Kluyveromyces lactis: one gene and its partners. The protein of the gene in region 1 interacts with the protein of each later gene in a pairwise test. Links are inferred from orthologs where the notes say so. Each region holds a gene or a part of one and is shown in the gene's direction. Other genes may lie near its edges. The genes, in order: UTP8, UTP4, UTP15, MPP10, NAN1, UTP10 and UTP5.

Region 1 (3,839 bases):
TCAAGATGCAAGATTGAACTTTGATACTTTACGTCATGAAATTAAATTGAAGCTGCAGGAAAAAGAGGTTGTAGCATCCTCTGAGGAAGCTGAAAAAAAGGTCGCAACTGAAACCCCTGAAACCCCCGAAAAGAAAACCAATGAGGAACCAGTTGATATGGCAAAGACAGAAGAAGATCCTGATTCTAAGCTTTTCGAACGATTAGAAGATCAGTTCGTGTCTGCAACCTCAGAAACTGTGGAATTCTTGGGAGAACTTACAGATAGTTCTGAGATCATTTCTTTGGTTAAGTTGTTCCATAATTTCCAATTGATCCATTACAAGCAATGTGTCAAGAGCTTAGAAGAAGATCTAGAAGTCCTTAACTCACTAGATTCTGAAGACAAATGAAGAAATCCACCTCTATATATCGTTAAAATAAAATAATTATTCATAATCAATCGTAAATATCTCATATGTAAATGCCCAATATACCTATTTTCCCATGCCTATTTGAACTCGCTATTCAATTTTGCATTAAACCGTTTATTCTTGTCATTAATAAATCCATCATCCAAATTGATCTTATTTTGTTTATCTAGTTTTTGTTTCCGTACCATATACCTTTTCTTTGATCGTTCGTTCAAATCATTCACCATTTTTTCTACTAGTTCAGGATTATCTTCTACTTGAACCTTCCCATCCTCAGTTATTCCACCTTTCAACGGATGTGATATATCCTTCGGAAGCGCATCTACTTCCTTCTTGTAGCTGTTCTTTGCTATAGTTTGGAAGTCCCCCATCACGCTTTTATTATGTCTTGAATTCTGTGTCTTAGCTTCCCATTTTTCATATTCGCGTATTGAGTAGTTTGCCAATTTTATCGGATCTTCTGGTTCGCTTTTGTTACTTCTAGCTTTATCTTCGCCATCGTCAGCCATACTGTATACTCTTCTTTCAGAGTTTTTCTTCTCTTCAGCTATTATGGCCTTCTTATTCCTTATACTTACTTCCACTTTTTGTTTCCGCAAACTCTTCAACTTTTTTTCAATTTCCATTAGATCATTCATCTTCGAATATTTATTATCAGCCTGTGTCCAGTTTACAATGTGATTTGTGGCATTCAAATAAGGGCTACACTTTCTGTCACCTGGAAGATATCTGAGTATATTCATCGCATCTCATCTTGTTTCTGTTTGCATTTCGACACTATATATTACCCGGACTGACTCCCAAAAGTAAAGTTTGAAAAATTTGAAGTACTCAGAAGAAGAGATGAGATGCGATGAGATGCGATGAGCTGTAAGTGCAAAGATACACTCAACCGCTGCTCTTGAAAGGACGAGGTGAAGTATCAAATATCCTGTGTTCAATACAGTTTGCTTTGATATTATTTATCGAAAGATATTGAGAAAATGGCATCCATCTCACAGCCTTTTAGGCTCTCTGCTCTACCTAAGATTCCATCATTGAATAATTATGCGAATCAAACAGACTACTTACAAGTTGTTGATAATCTTTCACCATCAGCCAATAAAGTGAATATTGGTATATCAGGTTCCAGTATATCACAATACTTGATTAATCCAACCCCGAAGCTGGTTTTTAACTTGCCAATCCCCTCTACGAACATTGTTACTGCATGTGACGTGGTAGAAGATGCAGCCAATACAGAAGTCTGGTGTTACGGATTGGAAGCTAGAAAGGTATCACATTTACACTTGGCTACTAAGCCGATGATTCAAGATGCCGTGTCATCTTCAAATGCTGAAATCACATCTCAGTTCAAATATAAACTAAAATCTGAAGTCGTTAGCATTAAGATCTATTCTAAAGCAGAGAAAGTTCTCGTTATCTTAAGGAATGGACTGATTCAAACATTTGATTATGAATTGAAACTTTCAAATACTATTGATATATCTTATGATGATATCAGATTTGTTCAATTCTTCCAAGATGGGCAGGGAAACGATTTCTTTTTCGTGTTATGCCAACTAAGTGATGAGAAAATCTGTTACAAACTTTTCCAAGTTAGGAGTGAGTCCGTCTCATGTATTGAACTAAATTCTATCATACTAGAAAATTACACTTTAGAGAATGCAAAGTTGTGTTTTGAGTTCGGGAAATTATATGTTTTAAAGAACTCAAATGAATTATCAATCTATCAGTTACCACATTTGCAACTACAAACTAGCATTCAGCTACCTTTCATTTCCAAGGATGCAGTTGTATCCATCAAACCAGTTTCTTCAAACCGTGTATTGTTGACTGCTGATAATACCATATATCTTGTGGATTTGTTATACAATGCTATACTATTCCAAAAGGATTTACAGAACATCAAAGCTATTCAACTACTCTCTACTGCAGTTGTTCAAGAAAACTCTGAAGACAATAGAAAAACTATAGCATTAGATGTTACAACTAAAAACGGTGCTAACCCTACGAGTTACTTGGATGTTATTAACATTGATGTTGGTACCGGTACCTTAAAAGATGCGATGGGTAAAGGGTTCATGGTTAAACAAAAGCAGAAACTACAGAAACTCTTTGAAGAAAGCAATGAGGACGACGATGTGGAATTGCCATCTCCAGACTATGAACGCATTATAAAACAACTCCATATCTGTAAAAAAATAGAGAACTTTGATTCTATATTTTTTAAGATGCTTTCCTTAGACAAGGAATATTATACAGACAATGACAGATTTTTAAATGATTCTGATTTACTCACTCAAATAATCGATTGCTTGTTTCTAAATTTCAAGGATGAATATCCAAAAGCATTGACATACCTTCTAACACACCCTTTATTCCCACCGGTTCACGCTAAGGGCTTATTAACCAAGTTGAAAAATAACCCAAGACTTTTCAAACAAGCTATTGTTACTTGTCCGAATGTTCCACTTGACGATTTGTTAACCGAGCTTTTCAATATAACGAATGCAGAGCTCTGTTTTGATATTACGCTAAGAGTGCTACAAGATTACAAGAAAGAATCAATCAAAGCAGGTATAAGAAAAATTGAGAAGATGGATATCACAAACTTTTTGGATATGATTTTGAACTCGAATAAGGCAGATTCGGACTTGAAACTTAATAAGCCACAAATCTTCCAACTTATGAGTTTAATAATAGATTCCATCGGTTTGTTTGCGTTAGACGATGAATATTTAGAGAAACTTTCCTCTTTTGTCGATGCGCAGGTTTCTGTAGTGTCACAAAACATAGAACTTTTGCATTTGGCAGAGCATTACACCAAGCATTCATCGGTTGTTAACAATAAATCTAATTCATCAACAAATTCGTCTTCTACACAACCTATTTCAGCTTACACAGTGGACTATTTAGAATGCTAATAAGTGTGTAGTATAATCATAAACATTAGAACTTTTCGTAAAATGATTTCATCAGCTTTCCATATTGAACTGGAACTGAATTACCTCTTTTGGATCCATGAAAGAGTATGTTTCACAATCCTCATCACTTTCATAAATCACATGCTCCTCGTACGTAACTCTGTTATCTTTGTCGACAAGTATGACAATCTGGGATCTAGTTCCATAGTAATCGCCTATTGGCAATGAAGTTCCAATAGCGTCTGCACCTTTAGTAATTCTTAAAGGCGGTACATAAATACTGGAAGTCGTCACAGAATCCACATCTTCGCCCTCATTAAACGTATGGTTTGATAAAAGTTCAAAACATTTCTGCAATAGTTCTTCCTTGGCAATGCCCGTAGTATTTTTCGCCAACGCATCAAGTAAAACGTACCCATATTCCGTCTTATTCCATCTACTTGTGTGTTCACCTACAGCACAGTGGAAAATGTCGTTGGATATCACCATATGCTCCATCT
Region 2 (4,007 bases), on another chromosome or scaffold:
ACCCCCAGGTCATCAGTTTCTCTAAAATATCAGAATCCACCTCATCGAACGTATGCTTCCCCAAACTCTTTAGTACTCTTGTAAACACCAATCTTCTATTGATGAAATTAACATCTCGTACCCGTTCCAAGATAACATTCTGGGTCGCTTTCGAACGTACAATATTCAACATTGCTGCCCTCCGAACTTCTGGACTTGGATCATTCCTAATGATATGCATTAAACTCTGTGTAGCTTCATCGAGTTGGAAATTTACTCCGGTTTCTGATTCATTAATCATCGATACGTTATCGTTTTGAAATTTTGTCAAACAAAATATCGCCTGTATCCTAACATGAGGTTCCTTGTCATACACCCTATGCTTCAAAACCCACATAATCAACTCGTACAATTCCTCATCAATTTCTCCCATATTATCCATAGTTGCGGCCAAAAGTTGCATTACTCTGTATCGTACGTTTTTATTTTTCGATTCCACTCCTCGAAGCAGATTCCTCACAAATCCATCAATAAATCCTCCGAAATGTACTTCCAAATTCCTCACATTTTGCTCATTACCATCTTCGGTTCTCATCTTGTTAAGATTCGACTCTATATTTGCGATGAACCCTGAAATCAACCGAACAATGCGATCCCCCACGATTTCCTGTTTCTTCAGCGGCAAGATTTTGACAGTCATTTTGATAAACCAATAATGAAACACATCTGATATCTCTTGCTCCACACATTTCAAATAAATCCTGTATAAGACAGCTACATGACGTCTGTGACCAGCATAACTCTTCTGCGCCACCTGGAAAACCTCCGCTATAGAATTCAGAACACGACGATTTGTAGGAGATTCTCCATCCTGAACATCCATATCAAACAATTGCACCCTTTTGGTCAATAATACCACGAGTATACACCAGGGAAAGGCTGCTATGAGGTTGCCGCCGATGTTTCTTCCACTTTCCTTTTCCTCTTTGTTTATTAGTTTGTTTATGTGAAGAGAAGATCCAATTGTAAACAAATCTCGTTTTCCCAATAGATCTAATATATCACGTGATATGATCATACTGTACGGTGTTGAAGCTAAACTAGTTTCTTTTTGAAAAATTTCAGCGTTAAGAGCACACAAGCTTAGAACAGAAGCTCATCTCATCGGATAACAAAGTCGTATATTTCTATCTAGTCAGTGAAGTTTTTTGATTGACATCAGCCTACAGTTTGTCAATCTTTTGTTTCATTCTAATACATTAGCTTTTGTTCTCTGATACAGGTTTAAGGTCCTCAATTTATAGAACACATTTGATCATGACTGATACTGGGAAGAAACAGGTAGTGCATCGATCCAGGTTTGTGCAGTTTACACCTGGTAATATAACGGCTCTTGCATTTTCACACAAAAGTACTGATAAAGCGGCACCGCAAGAGCTAAGACTGGCTATTGGTAGATCCAATGGTAATATTGAGATCTGGAATCCAAGAGATGATTGGGTACAAGAGTTCGTGATCTTGGGAGGTGAAGGAAGATCCATTGAAGGTCTTTCCTGGTGCAGTATTCGTGGAGAGCCTTTGAGACTATTTTCGATCGGTGGCTCCACTGTAGTTACAGAATGGGATTTGACAACCGGGTTGCCGTTAGTAAATTACGATTGTAACTCTGGTGTGATTTGGTCCATTGCAATGAGCAACGATATGAATAAGCTAGCGGTCGGATGTGATAACGGCAGTGTAGTACTTATTAACATCAGTGGTGGTAAAGGTGTTCTTGAGCATGAGAGCATACTTACAAGGCAAGAATCTCGTGTCTTATCGTTGACATGGACAGCCAATGATGAATCTTTGGTCGCTGGTTGTTCTGATGGAAGGATTAGAATATGGTATACTAAGGAGCAAGACGAAAACAAGGGAAGACTATTACATACTATGAAAGTGGATAAATCGAAGAAAGAATCTACACTCGTATGGTCTGTGTTGTATCTAGCTAAACAGAACCAAATTGTGTCTGGTGATTCTACTGGGTCGGTCAAATTCTGGGACTTAAACTACGCAACATTGACTCAATCTTTCAAGGTTCATGATGCCGATGTTCTATGTCTGGCTACTGATCTGGATAATTCACAATTGTTCACTAGTGGTGTTGATAGAAAGATTTTCCAATTCTCTTACATCGATACAGGAAAGAGCATGAAATGGATCAGTACTTCAAACAGATTATTCCATTCCAATGATGTTAGATCTATGTCCTCTTATCAATGTATGGGATCCGACTTCCTAGTGTCTGGTGGTATTGAAAAGTCTCTTGTCATGTGCTCAATGTCCTCTTTCGCTGAAGGAAATTATAGAAAGATGCCACTAGTTACCCCATTCCATAAGAGCATCCTGGTCAACAAACAACAAAGACTATTGGTGATGTGGCAGGATAATATCGTGAAGATATGGTATATTGGCGAAGACGTCAATGAGCCTAAGAACTACAAATTAGTTAGTAAATTGGTTTTGAAGGATGAACAAAACATCCAAACCTGTGCACTATCAACTGACGGACAAGTTTTATTAGTGGGAAGACTAAATACTACCAAAGTTTTCCATTTACAACCAACAGACAACAAATTGAAAGTAACAAAGTTGGACAATGAGTTTTTGTTGAGAACTGGTTGCAAATTTGCTAAGTTCATTGATGATTCTAGGTTAATAATGTGTTCACAATCTGATGAAATAGTTAGAATTGACCTTGAAGAGGATGACGACGAAAAAACCGTAACTATTGAGTTACCTGAAGCGAACTCAACGAAATCCAGCAATAAACTATCATATTTGAATGCAGTGAACCATTTAGATGCAAATGAACGTTACGCTGTTGCGTCTAGAGGTACCGGTGCTCTAGACTTAATAGATTTGACAACAAACAGTAGTAAAGCTTTAATTCGCATGAACAACTTCATCACTGCACTGTGCATCACACCAAGAGAGACTGTAGTAGTAGTGACATCAGAAAATAAAATATACGAGTTCAATTTGGAATCCGAGAAGGATCAACTACTCACTGACTGGTTCAAAGCCAATCATGAAAACCTCCCAAGGCAATTTACTTCCTTGAAAGAGAGATGCACAGGAATATTCTTAGATGAAATGGATGAGCATAAGGTATGGTTCTGGGGATCTAACTGGTTGGTTAACATCAACATGTCATTAGACTTGCCAGTTAGCAAAAGAAAGAAGCAAAAGAAGCGTGACCGTGACGGATTAACTATTTCCACTGACGGTCTACAGGCAGACGTCGATGAGGATGATGAAGACGATGAAGAACTCGAAGTTAAGGAAGATTATCTCTTAAAAACTCAGAGAGCGCAAGATGTCACCTCCAAGAAGAGATCTGATAAGGCGTTTTTCTATACCGATAAGTATAGACCTCTATTATTCGCTGGAAAGATCGCAAGTGACCAATTAATCATTGTGGAAAGACCAAACTTCTTGATCTCCCAACCTCCTGCATTTGAATTAGAAAAGTTAGTATTCTAATTTATAATTTCTGTACATTATTATAAACTCGATCTTCATCGCGAAATTGATTTTTAACATAGGGTCATCATTCCGCCGCATATCATCTGTGTAGTGTTCTTTCTGCTACCTTAATACCAATGAATGTCAAGAGCGAACTGCAAGCGAACATTTTATCAGACCAGACGTCGATTACAACATCAGGAATAGTGAATTTCTCACCCAAGAGTTGATTGACCTGTTTTGAGACATCATATGGTAAATTGGAGCGAATCATCAAGATAGTGGCAAGGATGTACACACCTGTCAACTCACACACAGCGAGGTTTTTGATGATCGAAGGGGGTTTCTTGGTATAGAATGCATCCTTATTGCTCGTAGGAAGCTCAGAGCCATTGGTACTCTGCATTGCAGATAACGCTAATAATTGTAGTTTGACAGGCAGTAATGTCAAAAGATAAGAGATTGTCGTAGTGACAGTAGAAAGAGAGCACACGAACAACGAGATGGACAATATCAAG
Region 3 (3,554 bases), on another chromosome or scaffold:
ATGGAGTTATCCTTAGTGACAACAACACCGACAATTTGATTCGAAACATCTGCACCTAATTTCCAAGACTGTTGGAATGGATCATCCAACGACACATCCCACAACCTTGCAGTGCAATCAGCACCCACGGTAACAACTCTAGAAGACTCTTCACCATCGTCTAACCATGCGACAGCAAACAAACCACCGCCAATTGGAGCCTTTTCAGACTCAATGTATTTGATAAATTCACCAGTCTTACCATCAAAGCAACATATCTTACGATCGCTACCGACAGACACAGCATATTTCCCTGCACCTGGAGAGAACTTGACGTCTCTAACGAATTTACCTTGGCCGTGATGCGTTCTATCACTGCTTGCAAACTTGAAAGGTGGACCCTGGTAAAACACAACAGAACCATCATCACTGACACTGAAAGCTCTCATTGGTCTGCTTTGCTTGAAATGAACTGCATTGACTCTTTGAGAGTGACCCGAGACTTCACCTAACGAGTTGCCCGAGTCCCAAGAGACAAACGCACCAAACCTATCACGACCTTCACCAACAACAGCCAATCTTTTACCCTCAAAATCCCAGGATATATCAGCGACAGGACCAGCGAGCACATGTAGTTCCGACTTAACGTTGTACTCAATTTCTCCAGACTTATCGTCCTGATTCCAAGACCAAACGATAACTCTACCGGAATCATCTCCTGAAGCAACATATTGAGACCCCTGGATAGGAGAAAATTTTACAACAGTGACATTACTGGTACCATGGCCATTGAATTGAACGACATGTTCACCATCTAAAGATCTAATGATGGCAGATCTACCGCTACCATAAGCTAAACTGTCAGTCTTTGGATCATATGATAAATGTGTCGTAAAGTTTCTCTTTGTAGAAGGGAGAGGTGCAAAAACCTTTGCTAAATTAATCGAAACCATATTATCGCGAGATACTAGATCAATTGACTTTTGGAACACTCTGTAAACGCACCAGAAAGACCTCTTCCTGACTCAAACGTGTCCTGTTCTCATGGTTTAGTTTCTTGATAAACTGGTGAGTATAAATAAATTCCATACATATGGAATGTAAATAGACGAAATAATAACTACTGGGATGCAGAAATACAAAGAAAAGATATCCTAAATACCAGTTAGTATAATGAAAGTGGTATTGCTGAATACCTGGGAATCAAGAAAATCTGGGAAACCAGGTTAAAAGCAGATAAAGGGCCTTAAAGGCCCTTTATCTGCTTGTAAAGTACAGTGAACGGTTATTCTTCTCTGAAAAATCACAATCAACGAGATTCTTCGAGTCTTCAAAGAAAAGAAACCAGATTTTGGAAAAAAAAAATGATTGAAGCCTTAGCTCATCGCATGGTTGATAAAATAGATTTCCCTGTAATTTGCGAGTTATATCAGTCGGTTTGGTATCGTCAGACTACTGTTAAGTGATAGAGGTGATTCAGGCGATCAGATTGGTAGAAATATTGTGAAGAAAATGTCGTCTGTGAGACCTAGAGTGACGCCGGTAAAGGCTCCTGTGTTACCAAAGCAGACCACCCCAGAGCAGAGGTACTGGAGGTCTTATTCATCTACTCAGCTTGTTAAAGAGCACAATGCAGTGACTCATATTGCCTTCAATCCCCAGCATCCACATGATTTTGCAGTTACCTCTTCTACTAGGGTACAGGTCTTCTCGTCAAGGACAAGACAAGTGATCAAGACGTTTTCTAGGTTTAAAGATGTGGTGCATTCGGCCACTTTCCGTCAAGACGGTAAACTTTTAGTAGCAGGTGACGCTACTGGGTTAGTGTCCGTTTATGATAGTTATAATCCACGTACTTTGTTGCTTTCTATACAAGCTTCGTCGCATCCTACGCATGTGACGAAGTTTCACGATCAGGATAACAAGACTTTGGTGACGGCAAACGACGATAGAGTAGTGAGACTATGGGATGTTTCTCATGCTTATGAACCCACTTTACAGTTAACTGGAGCATCTGATTATGTTAGATCAGTCTGCTTTGTGCCAAATGCTCCACATATGGTCGCTACAGGGTCGTACGATGGAGTAGTTAGATTGTACGATATTAGAACGAAATCAGATAAACCACAGACAACTTTGGATCACGGTCTTCCTGTGGAAGATATCACAGCCATATCTCCTACTCAGCTTGCATCGTGTGGTGGTAACGGGTTCAAAGTATGGGACTTGACTAGCGATAGAGCCCTTTGTGAACGTCAAAATTTCGCAAAGACGGTCACCTGTTTGAATTACACAAATATGGGAGAAGAATCACCAATGAGTTCCGTACTAGTTGCATCCTCGCTTGATGGTCATGTTAAGATCTTTTCCCCGTTGGAGAACTTCCAATTCAAGTTTGGCTGGAAGTTTAGCAACGCTGTGCTAAGTTGTGCAGTCTCACCAGGCGATGCGCAAGGTAATAAACATTTCGTTGCAGGTTTATCCTCAGGAATTCTAGCCATCAAGACGAAGAAGAAGTCCAAAAAGATTAACCTCGCTGATGTCTCTGATTTGGAGGATTTACCATTACAACAGCAAGAGAAGTCTGCGAAATCCAACAATTTCCAGAGAATGATGAGAGGGTCCGAATACAGAGGTGATCAAGAGCATATTATACACAACGATAAGCCAAATCCTCAGCGTAAGTTGCGTCAATTCGAAAGGCATATCAACCAATTCAAATGGTCTGACGCATTAGATTCTGCATTTATCCCCGGTATGGCTAAAGAATTAACTTTAACGGTATTACAAGAACTAAGGAAAAGAGGTAAAATCAAGGTTGCATTATACGGTAGAGACGAAAGTTCTCTAGAACCACTACTCAACTGGTGCTTGAAGGGAATAGAAGATGTTAGAAGTGCACCAATTGTTGCAGACTGGATTGCGGTTGTAATTGAACTCTACGGTAGTGTACTGGAGAAGTCCCCAGTACTTGAAGAGATGGTAATCACTCTAAAGAAAAGAGTAAGGGAAGAGATCCGCAAAGCAAAAGAAGCACAAAAGATAGAGGGTATGCTCCAATTGTTAACAAACTGATAAAATCCTTTCTACACTGATCTATAACAAAAAGGAATGCGTGTAAAAGATTATATTTATTTACATTTATAGTACATAGACTGCAACAACTGTATCATCCCGTTCGTTACGTCTGTTTCTTTGTTTTTAACGTTCTGACTTTGAAGAAATCACCTTCTTCCTCTCCATTTACTGGCTCTGTTTCTTCCTGCCTTTGTTGGAAGATTCAAACGCTTGAAGTTGTTGCTAACAAGGTTGTATTTACTCTTACGTTGCTTCTTCTTTACGGGTGGATTGGATTGTTGTTCAGAGTCAGACTCACTTTCTTCCACTTCTTTACCCAGCATTTTATTGTACTCACGTTCCTTCAACTTTGCTAGCTGTTCATGAACATTTTTGTCTGGAATGTTGGTCGACTTCTCGTTTAATGCTGCTGGTCTCATCTTCGCTTTTGTTCTTTTCTTTATGGTTTTAACTTTCCGCACATAATTGCTCTCAGTTTCATTGCCGACAGTTCCCTC
Region 4 (3,479 bases), on another chromosome or scaffold:
TATCTCGACTATTGGAACTGCATTGTTAGTAGTTTTCTGTGGGTTGCTAAAACAATATTCACCAGGGTCATTATTGCAACCAGAAGCCACATCGATGTGGCCCAATTCATTCAAGGAGTTTTGTCTTTCCTTAGGGTTATTGAGTGCATGCTGGGGAGGTCACGCAGTCTTTCCCAACTTAAAGAGTGATATGAGGCATCCGGAGAAGTTTACTCGTTGTTTGAAGACCACTTATAGCATCACCATTGTTACTGATATCGGAATTGCTGTCGTTGGATTTTTAATGTTCGGTAATCTTGTTATGAATGAAGTGACAAGAAGTGTGTTATTGACTCCAGGATACCCGCCTTTTGTTTATGGCCTAATTTCAACTCTTCTTTCACTGATTCCACTTGCCAAAACACCACTTAATGCAAGACCGATTGTCTCCATCTTTGATTCAATGTTTAACGTAGTGCACATCGATGAAACTAAACCAGCATCGAAGGTTTTTTTCGCAAAGGCAACCAGAATATTTAACAGAATCATGGTGAATGTTATGTTCGTGATTATTGCTATTTTATTCCCTGAATTTGACAAAATAATTGCATTCTTGGGTGCTGCACTTTGTTTCATGATTTGTTTCATTCTGCCATGTTTGTTCTACAAAAGAATTTGCTACAAAACCATTAAATCTTGGGAATTGATAGCGTGTAATATTACGATATTAATTAGTGCAGTATTATCCACTCTTGGAGTATACGCCTCCTTCACCTCATGAATTACCTACAAATGCTGTTGAATTTGCCAGCACCTCATTCTTGTATATGCATCTACGTGTCTTTATGCAAAATTTTAGCACCCAAACTAAGGGAATCACACTTCATATAATGACTTTTCACCCATATGTACTTCTGTCTAGTATTCATCACCCAACCAATGCCTCACAACTGTGTCTATTATCTCTCTTCTTACCCGCATTGGCGACAGTTCCCATCATTTTTTTCTTTTTCAAATTTTTGGATACCTGAAAAATTGATGAAAACTCATCTCATCGCATCACTCAGCATGTACGAAATATGCGTCTATAGTAGCAGCTTGATCGTATCGATACATCCACTACAGCTACACCAGTAAATAGGTAACGTTTCACTGACCCACACATAACACAACATGAGTCAGTTTTTGGAAATTTTGAAAACTAATCCTGTTGGACTTCTTTCCCAGGATGCTCTGGAGTCCAAGGAACCACTATCGGCAGTGAAGACTTACTTTGACGAAGTCATCAATCTGAATAAAAACAATGGAAATTCAAAGACAACATTAGATGAGATAGTGGTTGATGGGCTAGATGCTAACCAGGTATGGTGGCAGTCAAAAATCATTTTAGATAATGTTCAAGGTGATATCATGGAAAAAATCGCCGAACTGAAGGTTGATAATGAGAATGATATGAGCGAGGAAAGCAGCGGAGACGAAGATGATGCCTCTAATGTTGAAAATTCCAATGAAATGTCTGCAGACGAAGCTCCAGTTTCTGAAGAGTCTGCTATTGAAGAGGAGGAGGAAGAAGCAGAAAATGAAGAGCTCGTTTTAGATGAAGAACAACAGTTCTCAGAACCAGAACCTTTAGAATTACATGAGAAGGAAGAAGATAAATTGGAAAACGAAAGTGATTCGGAACCTGATGATCAATTTGTAGAAGCACAAGAAAGTCCACAAGCGATCGAAGACAAGTTTGGTGTAAACGATCAATTTTTCAATCTAGATGAATTCAATAGACAAACACTTGAGGCTGAGAATAGAAGCCAAGATGCAGATGAAGAAGATGAGGATGACGAAGAAGTTGATTATTTCGCAGATGTTCCATCGGAGGAAGATGAAGAAGCTCTATATTACGACGATTTCTTTGATAAGCCATCTAATAAAAAATCTTCCCAGGACAGGCGGCCAGGACCTTCAAAGAAAGCAGAGGCCGAAGAGGATGAATCCTTTGACGAAAGCGAGTATGATGATGCAATGGAGGAAGCTAAGTTAGATCTTTTTGCTGACGAAGACGATGATTTTCAGGGATCAGATGAAGAAACTGCTGAACAACCATTATCTACCTTTGAACGTCAACAACTTGAGCTAAAAAGACAAATAGAATCCCTCGAAAAGGAAGCTGTTGCTGAGAAGAAATGGGCGTTAAAAGGTGAAGTAAAAGCTCGCGATAGGCCAGAAGATGCCTTGTTAACGGAAGATCTTGAGTTCGAAAGAACTGCCAAACCTGTGCCAGTTATAACAGCTGAGGTAACAGAAACTCTCGAGAATATGATCCGTAGAAGGATCAAGGAAGAAGATTTTAACGATCTACAGAGGAGGGTTATCAGCGATATTTCAGGCTACAATAATAAACCAAGATTCGAACTAAGTGATGTAAAGTCATCAAAATCACTAGCTGAAATTTATGAAGATGATTTCAAAGGTGTTACCGAGGATACTGAAATATCAGAAGAATTACAGAAAAGTCACGATGAAATTTCAGAGCTATATAAAGATTTGGTTTACAAACTAGATGCATTATCGTCAGCCCACTTCATACCTAAGCCGATAAAGAAAGATCTTGAAGTAAGAGTGCAAACCGCCGCTATTTCTATGGAAGATGCACAACCACTAACAATGTCAAGTGGTTCCACATTAGCTCCTCAGGAAATCTACAAAGTTGGTAAATCAGAGAACTCTAATGAAATAACTTTGAAGAATGGTGTGGTGATGTCCAGAGATGAACTGTCCAGAGAGGATAAAAACAGACTCCGTAGAGCTGCTAAGAGAAAGAGATCGAAGCTATCTGCGAAAAGAGCCGAACAACCTAGAAAGAAGAGTAAGACGGATGATGTTCTTAATACCTTGACTAAATCCAAGAACATAACCGTTATCGATAAAAAGGGTGCCAAAACTGATGTTAAGGGTAATATAAAGAAGGATAATGCATCTGGTAACATCAATTTCAAGTTATAGACACTGTTACAGTAAGTATATATTACTATAATTAATGCAATTGCATTGAAATGAAGGTGGTAAATAAGAGAATTCTTAATTATCTTTTTATCCCCCAAACTATTTATGTTCTTGAGATTTATGGAATAATGATCTTACACCTTTTACAACAGAAGGACTGTAATGCTTGACAAGAAGGCTATTTTCCCATATAGTTGCTGCTTCTGCATTACTTCTACTTGGTAAGTCTGTGTCGATGCGGAACTCCCCATTTCCAATTCTATCGTCTGTAGAGTATAAACCCAGTACTTCTGGATATTTGGTAGTTAGTTTATCCAAAAACTTCAGCAGTGCAATTGATGTTTTTTCTGGAGTGTGCAGCAAAGCCATGTAAATTCTCTTTGTGAACGCAGCAGCTCTTTGTTTAGTGCCAGATTTTGATCTGAAAAAGACATGATCAAGGGCTTTCAACAATAACTCTGCTTTTGTTGATACGTTAACTGATGGTTTGACGAGTTCAT
Region 5 (4,107 bases), on another chromosome or scaffold:
TGGAACTCGCTTTGGAGAAAATAGATTCTATTCTTATGTTCAGAAAATCCTATAAGGGACTGTCGAAAAGAAACCTATAATGATCACTGTATCCTATACAACCGCTTCTGGAACACTTTATAATGACTACTATTTACGAGATCACTGTATATAAACAAAACTTAATCTTAATATGTTTCTACATGGAAATATGCCAACATCTTATGTAAGGCTTCCCGTCTTTAAATAATTAATGAACTTTTTAAAATCCCAACATACCAAATTTATAAAATCAGATGAATATGCTTTATTTAGGTGATGTGAATAGTATACAATGCAATAGTACATGAAATAGAATTGTGTGCATGCGTGCATGCGTGCTTCTTGTGCTTTCTTTATTTGTCGTTTCAGCAGCTGAACAGAAGTTACAGCAAACAGATGGTAATTGAAACTCAGTGGTTTTGTCTATTCTGGAGTCCATACGTCGAACGTAATAAAATGCAAACAAAGAACGCAAGAAAACAACGCGGTAGTAACCAGTGGCAGAAAAGTGAAGACGTAATTAAAGAGAATGGACCATTTTAGTGTAGAAGGGGGTATCGCAATTGATAGTAAAAGCAGACCACCTAATCTCTTTTTTCCAAAGGATTGTATCTCAAGAACTTTTCAATCAAATCGACATGTGTTAGAATCATTCTTCTGCAACAGTATCTCTTCAACCCCAATCTAGTCAAAGCAGTACCTTCTTCTAGTTCTTCTTCTTGCAACATATTCAAATAGGCTTCCCATTTGTCACCGACAACTTTCCCACAGGAAAAACATCTAACTGGAACAATCATCTCTCTTTAAAAGTATATCGAAACGAAAAAAAACCTAGAAACCTGGAAACCTGGAATAAACCCTCCGAGATTTATAAACTATCACAATAAGTGGATCAAAACCTGCTCGACCTTTTGAAAACTCATATAATTTGCATCACAAATCATCATATTCAACCAGCTTTCTTAATTCTTAATACTTTAATTTTTCATCGGTTCCAAATTTTTCATTAGATGCCCTTATATGTCACTTCTCACGATAGAGATGACCATCGTTTCTTTTCAAATCCTCGTCCTGCACAGGTTTCAACCATAAAATTTTCCAAAACTACAATTCTACATACGGTGAAAAAAAAGAATCCACATTAGACAAATAATTGAAAAGATGCGATGAGCTTATGAGTTATATGATGAGCTTGTCTTTTGAGAAGCAGAGAAAGAAAATACCAAGAGTAGGATCAGCCAGAGGCACCAACAAGAGTATCAGCTGTTATCGAATCCACGTTAAATATGCCAAACTCTTCGTTACCAATGTACAAGCTTTCTGTTGTTTCTGGTGGGAAGGTCGCTCTTCCTAGGATTCACAATAGATCCGCGACTAGAAAATCGGTGAGTTGTCTTACTCAGGACGGGTCAGCATACATTGTCCCTTTCAACAATCAGTTCAAAGTGTATTCAATTGATACTAGACAATGTATTAAGACATTGAAATTTGCTAATAATGATATTTTGACTTCGATACTCGATGAGCCTTCTGTAGAGGTGGTGCATATCGAGCCTATTATTGACGATGAGATGGATAAGATCAGAGTGTATACCAACACTGCGAAAGTAGTTATATTGAAGTATAAGGGTAAATTAGCCACGGAGATTAAAACTTGGTCTTTGAATATTACTGGCGAGTTATTTGCAGTTCTTGGCGATGGGAAGAAATTACTTACAGTTCAGAAAACAGGGAACTCTTACAGATATGATCTATATGAAAACGTTGAAGAGAAAGAGGAAGAATCTGAGGTTAAACACCTTGAAACTTTTGAGAATGTTTTACTTTCAACTTGGTCTAATAACAATAACTACCTTGCCCTAGTTTATTTGAACCAGGAAACTAAAAAACATGTGCTGATCAAATCTATGGTCGACAACAGTTCAGTTCAGAACTTCCCAGTACCATCTACAACATCTAGTACCACCATAAATTCCCATTTTGTCACTGCTCTTGCGTTAGATAACGACGGCCAGCAGTTGGCTATTGGATTTGCATCTGGTGTTATAAATTTGATCAATCTACCTGATCTGTCTCATAGATTATTGAAATGGCATATCGACTCAGTCCTATCCTTAGGATTTACAAATGACAACGCATATTTACTGTCTGGTGGTTGGGAGAAAGTTTTAAGTTTTTGGCAGTTGGCTACTAATATGCAACACTTTTTGCCAAGATTGAACGGTGTCGTCCTGGAATGCTTACCAGTAAGTGATAAGTACTATTCATTAGTGTTACAATTCGCTGAAAATAATACAAATTCTGACTACCAGATTACATTGCTCAATGCCACAGATCTATCATCAATACTTGCCATCAACGGCCCATTCCCGGTATTTGATACCATTACAAACGATGTTGAACAGCCAATTTCTACAGTTAACTCGAAAAGTTCTGTGTCGTCATCCAATATGCTACAATCGAAGAAAAAGCAAAAGAGAAAATTACTAAAGAGGAAAAAGCATGATTTCACCGCACCTTTGTCTGTACATCCATCTACAAAACATCTCTACTTACCACACGTTTCATCTTTGCAGTCTTACGATCTATACAAAAATGAACAGGTGAGCTACCAGTATGTTACATCCAGTGTCAACAATGCAGCAGGTAAGGTTAGACTTGAGTTAACTATCCAGGACCCTGTTGTACAGGATGTGAAATTCACCCTAGATGGTTTTTGGATGATCACATATGAAGTTGAGTACCCACCTGAGGGTTTATTGTCTTCTAAGGAGTTGTCACACGTTCTAAAATTCTGGAAATTAGATGACAACAAAGAATGGGAGTTGAAAACTAAAGTGTTGAACCCACATGGTAACAACGTCCCAGTGACAAACATAACTACAGCTCCAAATAGCATAAATTCTTCCCAGGGTTGTTTGACTGCTGATAACAATGGTGGATTAAAATACTGGAAGTTTGATTCGAAACAGAATAACTGGTGTTTGAACAGATTATTACTACCCAACTACAACCATTTTTCGAATTCGGTGCAACTAGCATGGTCCTTAGATGGCTCCTTAATCTTCCACGCTTTTGAAGATAAGCTATCTACCATTGAATTCAGCGAATTCAAACTACTGGAAGATGAAAATGAGTTACCAATCGAACGCACTTTGGATACTCCAATTCAAGCTCTTACACTTGTCAACGATTCGACATTGATAATCTCCACGAAGACTTCCTTGCATTCGTTCAATTTATTGACACAATCCACCATCAGCAGTTTCGATATCTACCCTTATGTGAACGGAGTTTACAAACCGGGCCATTTTGCCAGACTACTTGCATGCGATGCGAACACTGGAAGAATCGCACTTGCCATTAACCAACAAGCAGCAGGAACTGATGGCAATCCAACCTTACAACATAAAGCCAACATTTTAATTTTCAATTCCGATCTAACAGAAAAGTTGGGCAGCTTCGAACACAACGAATACATATCGTCGTTGGTATGGAATTACGCGGCAGATTTTATTTTCATGGATATCCAGTCTCGTCTTGGAATCGTGAGCACCACAACCAGCTCGGAAATGGTGGACGAATCGAATAATGATCAAGCATTTGAATCTCTACATCCCGATTCATTCAGCGAAAAACTACAAGAGCTTACGAGAAAGAAAGGTTTGGCAAACACAGATGCTGAGGATGGTGTAGATGAAGACATAGATCTAGAATTCATTAACGGGAACTTGTCACAAAACAAGACCATTAACATGAACAGTTTTACAAGTTTGTTTGAAAACATCGACAACGTTCAAATGAATACCTTGTTTGACCGCGTCATGAAGATTATCACATAGATGTTTTATACATTGACTCGAACATACGTATGTGTATATAATACAGAGAATATTTAAACAACCCTCCATTTAATTATTTATTCTGTCACTGACAGAAAAAATACTCGATGACAGATTAAATATGGAAAATAAAATAATCTAATAACTGTAAAATAAAACAAAAAACTAATGCGACAGAGATCAAAAAGAAGGAAATCACCTCCAAAGCAAATTAAGGCAGATGTTATGAAACATAGTTCCACCA
Region 6 (3,946 bases), on another chromosome or scaffold:
TATTCTGGGAAAGTCACCGGAGTCTTTCCATCCTTCAAAGTAGAAACATGAACCAAGTCACCATACTTAACAACACCTCTAGCAACCTCAGCAGCGTATTCACGAGTTAGGTTGAACTCTTTCTCCTTATGAGAGGACTCTCTCAATTTCTTATCGCACCCTTCGCGTGCAGAAACGGAATCTAAAGCTAAAGCCAAAGATAACAACAAAGTACTACACTTCATGACTGAATTATTAATGGCTCAATAACTGATGTCGTTATTTGGATAAACAATCTCTCCGCAAGTTGTAACCCCTAAGCTCATCGCTATTCAATCTTGATAGAAGGTTCCTTAAACCTGTCGTTGCCTATATATAAAATAAACGGTACAAAATTTATAATGCGGTAAATTACATAATGCAAACTAAGGTAAGGAAGGTGCTCAGCCTCAAACTTCCGAAAAAGTAGTTTGTTTACCAGAAGAAAACATTTTTGCAGTTCACCCAAGCCTTTGCATTGAGATTGGTTCGGACGAACCATCCGCCTAGATCTCGGATCTAAGTTTAATCGCAGAGACATCGCCGCATAACCACATCGCTCCAGCCAGGTGTGTTTTTCTTTTGTTCTTATATGAGCCGGTCCTTTGCTGAAAAGCCAGTCTGAACGCAGGCCCAACGCACACAACTCACACACACCCTCAAATGGAAACGTTGAGGCATTGCTAAGTAGATAGCTGCTATGAGCCTTGTTTATGCCAAACATGCTTATACGGTTGGCTGAGATCCGAAATTCCTCAGAAACTAGCCATTACTTGTAGTGTGACCTTGCACGGCACATGATGTATTGAAACAACTCTTAAGTCTGTATGTACTTCAATAGATCCGAAAGCAGGTGGAAACTGACCAGTAGCTTGCATATTGAGCTACGGGGAGACTTGACCCAAGTTTATGGTATCACTCCATTTTCATACACGTGACCATAAATGAATTTCTTTTCACCGCAGCATGAACAAATCGAAAATTTTAAAGAGTGAAAGAAAAAAAAAGTAGCGATGAGATGAGATGAGATGAGGTTCAAATCGTTGGCTTTGCAATCATCTCCTGGCGATAGATTTTTGATCAGGTTCGACTTGCTAGTACTCCAGGCAACGGCAGAGACGATATAGAATGTCATCTTTACGTGATCAATTAGCGCAGGTAGCGCAGAATAACGCTACTGTTGCTCTTGATAGAAAGAGAAGACAAAAGTTACATTCTGCGTCTTTGGTTTACAATCCGAAGACTGCTGCTACTCAGGACTATGAGTATATATACGATACAGCGTTGGAATCGTTTCATACTTTGGTGAGTTTGGACTTGAGGTTCAAAGTTTTCACTAATTCCTTATTCAGTGCATCTTCCGTGACCATTGATAGAAACGTTCAAACAAAGGATCAGATTAGAGATTTGGATAACGCAGTTAATGCGTATTTGATGTTGATTTCGCCGAAATGGCATCTAACTCCAGCTTTGCATGCTACGGAATGGTTGATTCGTAGGTTCCAAATTCATATCCATAACGCCGAAATGCTTCTTCTATCTACTTTGAACCAATACCAAACGCCGGTGTTCAAAAGGATCCTCAATATCGTTAAGCTACCACCTTTGTTCAACCCATTTACCAATTTTGTCAGAAACGATAAGAATCCAACCGATTTGACGTTGATCAAATTGTTTAACGATATGGACTTCTTGAAGCTTTATTCAAATTATCTGTCCAAGATTATCAAGCAAAAAGTTACCTATACGAATCAACTGCTATTTACCACATGTTGTTTCATTAACGTGATCGCTTTCAATGCGAACGATGAAGATAAGTTAAATAAATTGGTCCCATTGATTTTGGAAATTTCCGCAAAACTTTTGGCATCGGATTCAAGCGATTGTCAAATGGCTGCTCATACTATGCTCGCGGTACTTGCCACCGCATTGCCTTTGAACAAAAGCATTATCATTGCGGCTACGGAAACTATCTTGGCCAATTTAAAGGAAGACGATGCTAGAAAAAAAGCTCTCGTCACAATCTCAAAACTTTTCCAAACCTTGAAAGGTGTAGGTAATGTGGATCAATTACCGGTCAAGATCTATAAACTCGTTGATAATTCTTTCCCATTCGAATATCTACTACAGTTCCTGAGTAATGAAAACAAATATTCCTCAGATAAATTTTTCACTGCATACATTAGGTCTGTCATCAGATATGATCATGATAAATTGAGTCAAATTGTCAAAATCTTAAGGAAGATTAAGTTGGAAAAATACGAAGTTAGATTTATCATCACTGATTTGATACATTTATCTGAAGTTCTAGAGGACAAGTCACAATTAATCGATGTTTTTGAATACTTCATTTCCATTAACGAGGGACTAGTTTTGAAATGTCTTCAAGCACTAAACCTGACCGGAGAAGTTTTCGAAATAAGATTGACAACTTCATTATTTTCCGTCAAGAACAGTGCGGAACAATCTGGTGAAGATATCATTAAAGTTCTAGATGATGCTAAAGCATCAACCGCGAATGGTTCAGCTGTTCCATTTAAAGATTTCATGACCAAAAACTCAGAGTTCATCTCCACTAAAGCGGAGTCTATGCTTCTTGTTAAAGATGAAAAGTTTGTCAAGCTGTTGTCATTATTTGTGGAAGCTGTAAGTAAAGGATATCAACCAGGTCTATTTTTATCCTCCTTCTTCACTACTTTAGAGAGCAGGATAACGTTTGTGCTCAGAATCATCGTATCCCCTGGTTCGCCTGTTGCTCTCAGATTGATTTCACTAACACAGTTAAGCAAATTCATCAATGGTATAGATGAGCAAACGGATCTTTTCTCTTTGGTACCTATTCTAGTGACAGCATTGATGGATATTTCTAGATCTGTTCGTTCCAACACGAAAAAGGTTCTACAACAGATAGCCAAGAGACCTTTCACAGCAAAGTATTTCCTATCTAACGTACTCTACGGAGAGAATTTAAAGGTGCCAATGTTAAGTCCGAAAGATAGCAAGTTTTGGTTGACCAACTTTTTAAGCGATTACATCGTTGAAAGTACAGATATTTCATCCCTCGTCATTCCATCCAAAAATGACATGGTATATATGCTGTTTTGGTGCAACCAGGCACTGCATCTTCCTCTCGCCTATTCGAAGACTATAATGTTAAAGCTCTTGACCGCTGTGCCACAATATGCTTTTACATATTCAAAGGTGTTCGAACAATTTATGGCCACATACATCACGGAAAGAAGTTCCTGGGAAACGAAGTGCATCAAAAATAAAACCAATTTCAAAGACTTCGAAACTGCGGTATGTGCCATTGTTGCACCAAAAGAAAAAAACAGTTTCGCGATAGATTTTTTGATTAACTGTTTGGAATCAGAATATGAACAACTTTCGAATATCATGGCAGACAGAATTTTATCTTTGTATCCAACATTGAAATTCCCAAACCAATTAAAAATTGTTCAGAGTATAATAGACTCCTCAGTTGACAAAGAACTATCATATGATGGTCTAGAAACCCTTCAAAGTCTTCCATTAACTGCAGATATTTTTGTCTCTGTGTTGAAAAGTAATACCATAAACAGCGAAGATCAAACAGATTTGACTAAACGTAGAAGAAGAAGATCGTCTACGGTTAACAAGTCCGCCCTACAGAAACAAGATATTTCTCAAATTGCCGAAGCCCACCTAAAGAAAATGACTATTATTCTGGAGACTTTGGATAAATTGAAGGTAAAGAGTAACGAAAATCTATTGAATGCCTTATTCAACCTTTTGTCCGACTTGGAAACTTTAGACCATGATGGTGGTTTGCCTGTACTTTACGCTCAGGAAACTCTGTCCTCTTGTCTTTTGAACACTATTTCTTCTCTAAAATCTAACAACGGAAGTATGAAATTACCCTCTATTAGAGCAGATATACTAGTCGCTG
Region 7 (3,672 bases), on another chromosome or scaffold:
CTAGCATCATGATGAACTCTACCCCACATTCGATGATTATTTCACGAGCCTCCTTACTGAATGTTAGATCGGAATCAAGTACTTCAGATATGATTTTTTGAACGGTAGCCTTCGGTAATGTAACGTCGTCAACCTCTCCAACCATGTTTTCAATTGCTTATGGTTGAAATTCTAACGGTCTTTATTTTCTAAGATAAAGCTTGTGATTATTATTTTTTGGTTTTGCAAGCTTCCCTGAAAAAACTATAATACTCTCGAACTTAATTCTGTGCTGCAAGTCAATATACCAAACAAGCACTTCACGTAGTAATCAATTAGATAATTGGATGAACTTGAGATGATAACAGATTGTAAACAAATTTAACAATGTCAACTTTTGTTTTTAAATGCCTGGTATTACACTTTTTTGTCCTCCTTGAACTCTAGATCTGAATTATGTATAATAATATATACTAAAAAAATACTCATCGCTATTTCATTCACTATGCAAAAAAATGATATGGCTCGCCAAATTGGCACATTTTTTGATGCTTTATATATAAAACTACGAATCAAACTAAGAAGAAAAGTTGAAAATAAAAAAAAAAAAATTAAAACAACAACACACATCGCACACATCGCATCACCTATGCAAACAAGGGACAATAAGGGAATTCTGATTGGAAAATATATATATATAGATGTATATTCAAATTAGCAACAGGACAGAGACATATAAGTGTTGACCTTGGTTGTTAGGCAGGAGCTCTTTCCTTACTTGACGTAAATTCTTTATGTTGTGTTAATCACCCAGCTTCCTCTCATCACAGTAGAAATGCTAACTAGTGTTTGTTAGGAGATATGAAGTGTATAACTTGAAAGCAGGAAGGCAATGTTTGGAGGTTGTAAAATAAGATTGCAAAAGCTGAGTTAACGAACTCAGCTCAGTGGATGTATCCTGAAGAAAAGCCTTAAATTGGGGACCACTGGCTATATGCTCCAAATCACGTGAACAATATATGCTAACTTCTTATTACCCGGCACTTGTTTTTTGTAAGTAAATCTCACTTTTCTTTCTCCTTTCCAAGCTAAAGCTTTTCATTTGAAACTTTTCATAGCTCATCTCATCGCATCTCATCTGAGCTCATCGCACAGTATTTACTTTTGTGTACTTACTTCTTTCCTAAAGTGTTTCGATAAAACGTCTTGGGATATTAATTGAACAATCACCGGCTTTCGTACTGTTTAAGCTAGAGGTCTACACTCTACCACACGAATAACAATAGCAAGCTTAACGATGGCAACAGCTTCGCCAGTCGTATTATCACAATATGATCCAACCGGACAATATTTTGCATACGTTTCCACCGCTTTGGATAAACAGCGGGTATCAGTGGAGCCAACAACTGCCTCCAAATCTGGTTTAGTGAACGATAATTTTCTCTATTTGGAGGGGAAAGACGTCTGCTGTACATGCATACAATGGATTACTTACAATGACACACCATTGGTAGTTCTGGGTCTAAACCTAGGGGAAATATGGCTATACTCTCCTTTATCGAATGAAATAGTGGCGAAACTGAACACAGGATCAAGCTTAGCAGTTTTAGATTTCCAACTCTTTTCAAGCAAGGACAAGGCCTGGTGTTTGACTGGTGATGATACTATTTTTTTATTCGACATGGTATCACAGAATGTATCAAAAAAATTCAAAATTGATGAATGTAAGGACTTAAAAAAGCTATGCATAGTTGATAGCAATCGTATTCTTGTCGCTTCTCATCAAATTTACTTAATCGATGTCATTTCAAAGAAATTGTTGTTACAATACCCTGGCCATATTTCACCTGTGTCTTTCCTTCAAGTGACCACAGATGGAACAGCATTTTTGAGTGCATCTCAGGACGATAGATTTTTGAATATTTATGATTTGGACACTACCAAGACTAAGTCCGTCCTAGTAGCGGACTCGAACGTTATATCAATTTCGATATCTGAGGATTGGTCTCACGTGTCGGCAACAACAGAAGATGGGGATATTGCTATCTTTGAAGAACCTTTGGTATCAATCAATTCAGGGAATAAGAGACGTTCTGGTAAGATATCCAAACAAAAAAACAAAACTATAACTTTATTAAGGTCTAATTCCGCAACCAGATTGCCTATTATCAAAAGTTTTATCAACAAAGATCTAATTAATTTTTCGTGGTTAGAAAATGCAACCACACCTTACTTTGATCAAGTTCAATTAGGTAACCTAACGGATTCAGTCACCACTTTATCCAAGCCATTGCCATCTGCTAAATCTACACAAACCAGGAACAACCAAAACAGTGATATTTCTTCGGCAAAGCTCTACAAAGAGGGTAATGCAACGGTAACATCTGGTGATAACTTTAAGCATGTGGAATCCATTGTCCAAAGTTTAGATGATATAGAAGGAGAAGGGATTTCAGAAACTTTACAGGATAGACTAAATATAATTTCACCACCATCGAGAAAACCAAAGGAAAGGAGAAGAGCCAACGCTGGTACTTCTTCTGTTGTATTAGCTCAAGCATTAAAATCAAATGATCATGCTCTATTGGAAACAGTCCTTAACACACGCGACGAAAAAGTCATTCAAGCAACCATAACCAGGTTATCCCCCCAACTTGCTACGATTCTCTTGGAAAGACTCGCTGAACGTATCGCCAGACAAACTCATAGACAAGGTGCTTTGAACGTGTGGGTGAAATGGTGCCTAATAATTCACGGGGGTTACTTAGTTACCATTCCAAATTTGATAAATTCATTGTCATCGCTACATGCTACTTTGAGGAAACGAGCAGATCTCTTACCAACACTCATGGCATTGGATACACGTATTACACGTTCATTAGATGAATTGAACAGTAAGAGAGCCGTACAATACGGCAAGGATCAACTTGATTCTGAACTTGTCGCTCCATATCAGGATGACGAGTCGAACCAAAATGAAGATGAAGAGGAAGAAGTGGAATATATAGAAGAGCTAGACGATGCTGGATTAATAGACGATGGTGAAGACAGTGCAGAGTACTCTGAAGATGATGACGAACACAGCGAGGCTGATAATCAGGAACTTACATACACTGAAGAAGGATTTGACGACGATGACGAAATGAGGGTCGACGTTGAAGAAGGATACTCTGACGAAGAAGTTCAGCATTAGCGTACATAAAAGAAAAAATATAAAACGCTAACGCATTGAAAAATGCAGCTGCTATGTATCGACTTAGACCTGACATTCTTCCTCCATGCAGCTTTAAGCTTGATTGATCATTATGGCCGGGTAATGGAAACATCGGAGTTTGACTCTGTCTGTAAATAATCTAATTAAAAAAAACAATTGTTTGCTAGTGATGCTCTCAGAATTCAATTTAATCCAGAACCAAACAAGTTAAAAATTTAAAGCGTGGAACATGGAAAATGTAGAAGCGTTTAATGAGGTGTTCTGTGTTGGTTTAGAACGTGCATTTTTGGTAGACGGTCTATCCGGCTCGGAAATCCCGTTCTCGTAAACAATTTTAGAATTTCTCTACTGGTTGCAAGCACGTAGGTTCGTCTCGCGGTACGGGAGTTGATCTTGTCCATGGGATCAGTATCTATCGTTTCGTTTTGTTTTTTTTTATATCTTTGACAGATAAAGTATAAATGTGTCGTGTATTCTTT

Evidence for each region.
Region 2: the proteins of UTP8 (region 1) and UTP4 interact in binary tests that used the Saccharomyces cerevisiae proteins (3 or more experiments, as listed by UniProt). The link is inferred for Kluyveromyces lactis from reciprocal best matches to the Saccharomyces cerevisiae genes UTP8 and UTP4.
Region 3: the proteins of UTP8 (region 1) and UTP15 interact in binary tests that used the Saccharomyces cerevisiae proteins (3 or more experiments, as listed by UniProt). The link is inferred for Kluyveromyces lactis from reciprocal best matches to the Saccharomyces cerevisiae genes UTP8 and UTP15.
Region 4: the proteins of UTP8 (region 1) and MPP10 interact in binary tests that used the Saccharomyces cerevisiae proteins (3 or more experiments, as listed by UniProt). The link is inferred for Kluyveromyces lactis from reciprocal best matches to the Saccharomyces cerevisiae genes UTP8 and MPP10.
Region 5: the proteins of UTP8 (region 1) and NAN1 interact in binary tests that used the Saccharomyces cerevisiae proteins (3 or more experiments, as listed by UniProt). The link is inferred for Kluyveromyces lactis from reciprocal best matches to the Saccharomyces cerevisiae genes UTP8 and NAN1.
Region 6: the proteins of UTP8 (region 1) and UTP10 interact in binary tests that used the Saccharomyces cerevisiae proteins (3 or more experiments, as listed by UniProt). The link is inferred for Kluyveromyces lactis from reciprocal best matches to the Saccharomyces cerevisiae genes UTP8 and UTP10.
Region 7: the proteins of UTP8 (region 1) and UTP5 interact in binary tests that used the Saccharomyces cerevisiae proteins (3 or more experiments, as listed by UniProt). The link is inferred for Kluyveromyces lactis from reciprocal best matches to the Saccharomyces cerevisiae genes UTP8 and UTP5.

Annotation. Positions count from the first base shown.
Region 1 is NC_006041.1:412,788-416,626, forward strand, and holds UTP8 (Utp8p), read left to right. Parts: upstream 1-1,395; coding exon 1,396-3,339; downstream 3,340-3,839. Other genes in the region: KLLA0_E04621g (uncharacterized protein), read left to right, coding at 1-391; SYF2 (Syf2p), read right to left, coding at 490-1,155; KLLA0_E04687g (uncharacterized protein), read right to left, coding at 3,391-3,839. UniProt on the Saccharomyces cerevisiae protein: Involved in nucleolar processing of pre-18S ribosomal RNA. Also has a role in nuclear tRNA export. It acts between the steps of tRNA maturation/aminoacylation and its subsequent translocation out of the nucleus.
Region 2 is NC_006040.1:1,131,567-1,135,573, reverse strand, and holds UTP4 (small subunit rRNA maturation protein UTP4), read left to right. Parts: upstream 1-1,296; coding exon 1,297-3,507; downstream 3,508-4,007. Other genes in the region: condensin subunit YCG1, read right to left, coding at 1-1,057; KLLA0_D13200g (uncharacterized protein), read right to left, coding at 3,590-4,007. UniProt on the Saccharomyces cerevisiae protein: Involved in nucleolar processing of pre-18S ribosomal RNA. Required for optimal pre-ribosomal RNA transcription by RNA polymerase I together with a subset of U3 proteins required for transcription (t-UTPs).
Region 3 is NC_006042.1:1,275,041-1,278,594, forward strand, and holds UTP15 (snoRNA-binding rRNA-processing protein UTP15), read left to right. Parts: upstream 1-1,491; coding exon 1,492-3,054; downstream 3,055-3,554. Other genes in the region: AIP1 (Aip1p), read right to left, coding at 1-932; SLD2 (Sld2p), read right to left, coding at 3,204-3,554. UniProt on the Saccharomyces cerevisiae protein: Involved in nucleolar processing of pre-18S ribosomal RNA. Required for optimal pre-ribosomal RNA transcription by RNA polymerase I together with a subset of U3 proteins required for transcription (t-UTPs).
Region 4 is NC_006040.1:821,799-825,277, reverse strand, and holds MPP10 (rRNA-processing protein MPP10), read left to right. Parts: upstream 1-1,152; coding exon 1,153-2,979; downstream 2,980-3,479. Other genes in the region: AVT1 (Avt1p), read left to right, coding at 1-760; NOC3 (Noc3p), read right to left, coding at 3,079-3,479. UniProt on the Saccharomyces cerevisiae protein: Involved in nucleolar processing of pre-18S ribosomal RNA. Required for the early cleavages at sites A0, A1 and A2 during 18S ribosomal pre-RNA processing.
Region 5 is NC_006040.1:574,045-578,151, reverse strand, and holds NAN1 (Nan1p), read left to right. Parts: upstream 1-1,307; coding exon 1,308-3,863; downstream 3,864-4,107. Other genes in the region: dynamin-related GTPase MGM1, read left to right, coding at 1-80; DNA-directed RNA polymerase core subunit RPB10, read right to left, coding at 606-818. UniProt on the Saccharomyces cerevisiae protein: Involved in nucleolar processing of pre-18S ribosomal RNA. Required for optimal pre-ribosomal RNA transcription by RNA polymerase I together with a subset of U3 proteins required for transcription (t-UTPs).
Region 6 is NC_006042.1:1,974,057-1,978,002, forward strand, and holds the start of UTP10 (snoRNA-binding rRNA-processing protein UTP10), read left to right. Parts: upstream 1-1,146; coding exon 1,147-3,946. Other genes in the region: KLLA0_F21164g (uncharacterized protein), read right to left, coding at 1-224. UniProt on the Saccharomyces cerevisiae protein: Involved in nucleolar processing of pre-18S ribosomal RNA. Required for optimal pre-ribosomal RNA transcription by RNA polymerase I together with a subset of U3 proteins required for transcription (t-UTPs). Involved in ribosome biosynthesis.
Region 7 is NC_006039.1:579,073-582,744, forward strand, and holds UTP5 (Utp5p), read left to right. Parts: upstream 1-1,276; coding exon 1,277-3,172; downstream 3,173-3,672. Other genes in the region: negative cofactor 2 transcription regulator complex subunit NCB2, read right to left, coding at 1-145. UniProt on the Saccharomyces cerevisiae protein: Involved in nucleolar processing of pre-18S ribosomal RNA. Required for optimal pre-ribosomal RNA transcription by RNA polymerase I together with a subset of U3 proteins required for transcription (t-UTPs).